2 linked regions of the Oryctolagus cuniculus genome follow. The protein of the gene in region 1 interacts with the protein of each later gene in a biochemical or structural test. Links are inferred from orthologs where the notes say so. Each region holds a gene or a part of one and is shown on either strand. Other genes may lie near its edges.

Region 1 (4,021 bases):
ACTATTCTACAGTTAGGTGTGAAAGAGCAATGAATGTGCAAGGTCTTGATGCAGTTATGTGTGGACAGGTATCTGGCCCAGGGTTTAAACATTGCTTGGGATGCCCACATCCCATATCAGATGGCCTGGGTTTCTGTCCTGCCTGGCTCCAGTTTTGTTTTAAGATTTATTTATTTGAAAGACAGTTACAGAGAGGCAAAGGCAGAGAGAGAGAGAGGTCTTCACCTCCTGGCTCACTCCCCAGATGGCCACCACGGCTGGAGTTGGGCCGATCTGAAGCCAGGAGCTTCTTCTGGGTCTCTCACAGGGGTAGAGGGACCCAAGGACTTGGGCCATCTTCTGCTATCTCAGGCCATAGCAGAGAGCTGGATCGGAAGTAGAGCAGCCAGGACTCAAACTGGCACCCATATGGGATGCCGGAAACTCCAGGTGGCAGCTTTACCAGCTCCGCCAGTGCTGGCCTCTGACTCCACTTCTGATTCCAGCTTCCTGCCAGTGAATACCCTGGAAGGCAGCAGGTGATGACTCCAGTACGTAGGAGCTTGCCACCTACACAGGAGTACTGAACTGAGTTCCAGCCTCTGGTCTTGGTGCGGCCCAGCTCTGGCTGTTGCTGACATTTGGGGAGTGAACCAGTAGATGGAAGATCTGTCTGTCTCTCTCTGCCCTTCAAATAAAAAACAAATTGAATAGGTATAGGAAATAAATTCTATGTGTACACAAAAACAAGTGACCGTGTAAGTTAATTTTGTGTATAACTACATTACTCAGGTGCTAGTGTCTTACTCGGTTAAGTTTCTCAAAGGTATATGCCTTCGGAAAGGGCCATGCAGAGAAAGGGCAGCAGGGCTCAGGCTACAGGAATGAATGCCTCATGTGACTCCCAGAACTAACACCTGGACAGCAGAGACACTTGGAGGCAGAGAGGTCTTGCTGATGTTAACCAAAGCACAGCATACAAAGTCACCCTCTGCTACCCCCTCCTCTGGCAACATTTAAGGCCGGACTGAATCCCTGCAGGACTGGAAGGATCACCCCTCTAGCACAGAGCAAATAATCCAGCACTCCATCACACAGCCCCCAGGTTGTTCTGACTGCTGTCCTGTGCCAATCCCCTTTCCCCACAAGCCAGAACAATTTTTTTAAAAAGATTTATTTATTTTATTTGAAAGGCAGAGTTACAGACTGAGAGAGGGAGAAAGAAGAGAATATCTCCCATTGGTGGTTCACTCCCCAAATGGCCACAATTGCTGGGGCTGTGGCTGGGCCAGATATAAGCCAGGAGCCCAGAACTCCATCTGGGTCTCCCATGTGGGTGGCTAAGGCCCCAGCACTTTGGCCAGGCACATTAGCAGGGAGCTGGATGGCAATGACGCAGGCGGGACTCAAACAGGGGGCTTGTATGGCGGCAGGTCCTGGCTTAACGGCCTGCGCCACAATGCCCGGCCTGAGTTCTTTGAGGGCACAAGTTGGCATCTGTTCCTCTCAGCGTTCAACAAACACTTGGAAGACTAAATTAAGACTATCTAGCTTACAAAAAAAAAAAAAAAAAAAAAACCACTAATTAAACATACCTAATAATCGAAGTGTCTTTAAGGCATAATAACCTATCACCAGTATTACTGCCAAGTGAACCTTTCATACGTATTATCTCCAAAGTCCAGGGGGCCCCAGTCACCCCGGTTCTCCTTCCCAAACTGACAGCAATCGAACTCTAGCGATTCCCTCGGCCTGGCTAGGCCCATTACCCAGAGCTAGCGGCCGCCAGCAGGAATCGTGCCTTGCCTTTCCTCAAAAAAAAAAAAATTTTTTTTTTTAATTTGACGCTGATGCCTTTATTAACAAACACCAGCCACCTCCGGGGAGAATTCTGAATCCCTACCCCTGTCCCACCTCAGGGGGATGCCACTCGGCGGCACCCAGAGTCACGGGATAAACGGGATCCATCTCCAAACGCCAACACCCCCCCCCCCCCCAATAAAAAAGTTGAAAAGAAGGAAGACGGTTCTCCATCAAAGTCTGAGTATTTTAAGGGGCACAATCCCAAACTCGGGATCATCTTCGAAAGAAACTCGACAAAGTCGGCGCCCTTGCCCTGCGTCCGCCCCAGCCCCGCGACAGTTCCTCCGTGAGACCCCGGCCCCGGCCTTCTCCTCAGCCGCCGCACGCCCCCTCCCGCTGGGCCCCTCCGCACGGCGGCTGCCCGCTCGCCGGCCTCCAGCTCAGCCCGCCCCCGGGCCCAGGCCTCTCGGAGCGGCACCTGCTGGCTCGGCTGCCCTCGGCCCCGGAGGGCCCGTCTCGTAACTCCGCGGGTCTCCCCTCGAGCCCACCCCGACTTTCTTCCCGTCCCCTACTCGATCCCTAGTTCGCCCCGGTCCTTCCCACTTCGGACTCCTCAACCATCGGCACCAGAACCCCTTTCTCCCTTCTCCCTCCCAGGACCCACCCGTCACGCCTCGCTCCCCTCCCGGCCCCCAGCTCCCTTCCCCACCCCCGCACCCGGCCCCCCGGCTTCCTTCAACCCCTTCCTCCGCTTCAACGGGACCCCTCCCCCTCACCTCGCGCCCGTCCTCTAGCAGCAGCCACTCGACGTTCATCCCCACCCGCCGCAAGCACCAGCTCTGGCACCGCAAGCCCGTCGCCAAGGAGCCGGGCTTCTCCATAGCCCACTAGGCCCCGCTCGGCGCTCAGCACTGAGCGAGACCCCGACTCGCGTTCCAGCAGCCTCTGTGTGGCCCGGCGCGCGCCATAGCTAAACGACAGACAGAAGCAATCGCCGAGCGACCGCGATCGATGCTGCGAGATCGGGCTGCGAGCCCCGCCTGATCCGGTAGGAAGAGGGAGCGTTGCGCCTGCGCAACAGGAAGGCTTGGCAGGGTGGGGCGCGGACGCCCGACCCCTGCGTGGGCGGAGGCGCAGGTGTGGTGGGCGTGGCCAGAGCCTGTAACTGACCTGGCCCACCGTCCAGGTTCTACCATCCCCAGACTAGAGTTTCACTTCAATTTTCGTCTTAGAAAATTTGTTTTCGCATTATGAACGCGTGATAACGATGATGGCCGCCTTTATTTAAAACTAGCCCACTTTTGAACTGTAGGGTTGCGATAATTTTTAAGCCTGTTTGTACCTAAAAAGCATCTATCTTGAGAATCTCCTTTCATTGCCGGATTTTAATTTTATGTATTTGAAAGGCAGAGAGAGACGACAAACACAAAGCTCCCCTGTGCTGATTCACTTCCCCGATTCTGGCAAAGCTGGAACCAGGAGACAAGAACTCAGCGGGAGTCTCCCACATGGGTGGCAGGGACCTAATCACTAGAGCCATCACCTGCTGCCTCCCAGGTGCCCGTTAGCGGGAGGCTGGAGTGGAGAGCACTGCCAGGGCTGAACTCAGAGTCCGCTACGGGATCAGGGTCCCGGGTGGCATCTTGACTGTTACACCAAATGCTCACCTCTGATTACCAAACTTTTAAAAAATTATACTGGGCAAAACTATATAAACACAAAGCAGCTTACTTGGGGCTGAGGTGGGAGCAGGACTGAATGCAGATGGGCTTAGAGGAATTTGGGGAGGTGATTAAAATGTTCTGAAAGTACACACGTGTACGGATTTATGGATATGTCACTGAAATACACACTGCCAATGGGTGAGCTTGATGGTATGTAAATTATTCTCAAGTCTTCTTATGTTAAATTAAGGGAAGTATATATATATGAATCATGCACAGTACAACAGTAAATTATTAGTGTTTACTAAGAGGTAAGTGGGAGGCTGGTGCTGTGGTGTAGGGGATAAAGCCACTGCCTGAAGCGCTGGCATCCCATCTGGGCACTGGTTTGAGTCCTGGCTGCTCCACTTCCGATCCAGCTCTCTGCTGTGCCCTGGGAAAGCAGTAGAAGATGGCCCAAGTCCTTGGGCCTCTGCACCCATGTGGGAGACCCAGAAGAATAGCCTGGCTCCTGGCTTTGGATCAGCGCAGCTCTGACTGTTGCGGCCAACTGGGGAGTGAACCATCGGATGGAA
Region 2 (2,684 bases), about 21 Mb from region 1:
TCCGCCCCGACGCGCCCTGGCCCCTCCCCTCAGCCAGTGGCTGGCCGCGAACCAGGAAAGGCGCGGGATTCAGATCGCATCCTGACTCCAGCCAGTATCAAGGCTCCATTCTTGAGAAAAATCCGCCCCATCCAATAGGTGATCCATGGATTTCTGAAGACTCAAGGACTGCTTAGCCGACGTGATTAGTGGCTACAGGTAGGTAACAGGGAGAACTGCAGGAATTTCACTCCATTTCACTGTCGAGGAGCTGGAGATGTTAGAGGGGGCTCTTCAAAGCTCATGCGAACCCGAGTTCACGAAATGCGCATCTCCCATCACATCGCGAACCCCAGTCCCCGACCCCGACCAAAGTGCCCTAAGGTTACTCAGCGCCGACCTGCACGGGATAAACACGCGTTCTGGGGTCGTCACTAACGCCAGCCCTAACACCCGACCTAAACCCACCTCAACAGGAGCAAAATACAAGGACGTCGGCCACAGCTCTATTTGTGAAAGAGTTGGTGGCTCTGAAAAGAGCCTTTGGGGTGAGGGGCGGCGGCGCCAATTCGGGAGCTCACTTGGAGCTGGTGTACTTGGTGACAGCCTTGGTGCCCTCGGACACGGCGTGCTTGGCCAGCTCACCAGGCAGCAGCAGGCGCACGGCCGTCTGGATCTCGCGCGACGTGATGGTCGAGCGCTTGTTGTAGTGCGCCAGGCGCGAGGCCTCGCCGGCGATGCGCTCGAAGATGTCGTTGACGAACGAGTTCATGATGCCCATGGCCTTGGACGAGATGCCGGTGTCGGGGTGCACCTGCTTGAGCACCTTGTACACGTAGATGGAGTAACTCTCCTTGCGACTGCGCTTGCGCTTCTTGCCATCCTTCTTCTGCGCCTTTGTTATCGCCTTCTTGGAGCCCTTTTTGGGGGCGGGAGCGGATTTGGAGGGTTCAGGCATTGCTTTTAATATTGGCTGAGAGACTAAAACAGACTCAGTCTACAGCTGATTAGTGATGACAGGCCGGAGTGCATATATTTATAGTCCCGTAATTCAAATGAGGGTTTGAGACTTCTCACTTCTGATTGGACAACAAAGAAATTTTCTCTAGGGGGGTTGTTTATGCAAATAAGGTATCCGGGTTGTCTTTTCCTATTGGGCAGAAAAGGCGAACCTATTTCGACCAATAGGATGACGTACTGTAGTAGCCCTGCGCTGCTTATAAAAGCACAGTCTTGGCGGGTATGGTTTTCTTTACTTCAGATTGCGAAGCGTGTTTGGCTGTACCATGTCTGGGCGTGGCAAGCAAGGCGGCAAGGCGCGCGCCAAGGCCAAGACCCGCTCCTCCCGGGCCGGGCTCCAGTTCCCCGTGGGTCGCGTGCACCGCCTGCTGCGCAAGGGCAACTACTCGGAACGCGTGGGCGCCGGCGCCCCAGTGTACCTGGCGGCCGTGCTCGAGTACCTGACGGCCGAGATCCTGGAGCTGGCGGGCAACGCGGCGCGCGACAACAAGAAGACGCGCATCATCCCGCGCCACCTGCAGCTGGCCATCCGCAACGACGAGGAGCTCAACAAGCTGCTGGGCCGCGTCACCATCGCGCAGGGCGGCGTGCTGCCCAACATCCAGGCCGTGCTGCTGCCCAAGAAGACCGAGAGCCACCACAAGGCCAAGGGCAAGTGAAACCACAGTAAAGACGACGCAACTCTCGCTTTGAAATACCCAAAGGCTCTTTTCAGGGCCATCCACTGTTTCACAAAAAAGCTGCTAACCCTGACTGGAATTAGTCCTTCCCATGGTGATAGCGTTAGCGCTTAAGAAAACTGTGGAAACAAGTGAAACGTGTATTTATTGTGACGGATGAAAGGCCACACAGTGACGGGGGGTGTGTCAGTCGGGAAATAGCCCCCGAGGTGCAGCTGTTTCAAACGTAAAACGCGTTTTGCCTTAAGTCAGGGCACCTTTCCGTGGCTCAGTGTTTATCGGGCGCTATTAGACGGCAGGCCCAGGTAATTAGGGATTTCGGGGTCCACGCTAGGGCCTGTTACTGAGGTAATCTCCCTCCACGGTTAGGTACGCTTCTGAGATGGAATGATCCAGATGTTAGAAAACGTCTACCATCCCAAACGGACAGTGGATGAATCCGGCCAATCAGGTTGTCTGAGTGGACCAATCATCGAAGTTCCTCCTTTAGCCAATGAGTTTGTCGCGCGGATTTTTTGAAAATCCGGAAGCCAATCACAGTAGTCCTAACGATATTTAAAGGCAGCTCTGTCGCCGCAGACAAGAAGTTTGAGTCCCACCGGCGCGAGATGGCTCGTACTAAGCAGACAGCGCGCAAGTCAACAGGCGGCAAGGCGCCGCGCAAGCAGCTGGCCACCAAGGCGGCCCGCAAGAGCGCGCCGGCCACGGGCGGCGTCAAGAAGCCGCACCGCTACCGGCCCGGCACGGTGGCGCTGCGCGAGATCCGGCGCTACCAGAAGTCCACCGAGCTGCTCATCCGCAAGCTGCCCTTCCAGCGCCTGGTGCGCGAGATCGCGCAGGACTTCAAGACGGACCTGCGCTTCCAGAGCTCGGCCGTCATGGCGCTGCAGGAGGCCTGCGAGGCCTACCTCGTCGGCCTCTTCGAGGACACCAACCTCTGCGCCATCCACGCCAAGCGCGTCACCATCATGCCCAAAGACATCCAGCTGGCGCGCCGCATCCGCG

What was found. The genes of interacting proteins can lie anywhere in the genome.
Region 2: of the proteins of RNF8 (region 1) and histone H2B type 1-B, one has a biochemical effect on the other in vitro, tested with the Homo sapiens proteins (2 studies listed by BioGRID). The link is inferred for Oryctolagus cuniculus from reciprocal best matches to the Homo sapiens genes RNF8 and H2BC3.

Annotation. Positions count from the first base shown.
Region 1 is NC_091436.1:132,286,898-132,290,918, forward strand, and holds the start of RNF8 (E3 ubiquitin-protein ligase RNF8), read right to left. Parts: upstream 2,801-4,021; 5' UTR 2,664-2,800; coding exon 2,559-2,663; intron 1-2,558. UniProt on the Homo sapiens protein: E3 ubiquitin-protein ligase that plays a key role in DNA damage signaling via 2 distinct roles: by mediating the 'Lys-63'-linked ubiquitination of histones H2A and H2AX and promoting the recruitment of DNA repair proteins at double-strand breaks (DSBs) sites, and by catalyzing 'Lys-48'-linked ubiquitination to remove target proteins from DNA damage sites.
Region 2 is NC_091436.1:153,352,444-153,355,127, forward strand, and holds histone H2B type 1-B, read right to left. Parts: upstream 1,266-2,684; 5' UTR 938-1,265; coding exon 557-937; 3' UTR 501-556; downstream 1-500. Other genes in the region: histone H2A type 1-B, read left to right, coding at 1,266-1,658; histone H3.1, read left to right, coding at 2,288-2,684. UniProt on the Homo sapiens protein: Core component of nucleosome. Nucleosomes wrap and compact DNA into chromatin, limiting DNA accessibility to the cellular machineries which require DNA as a template.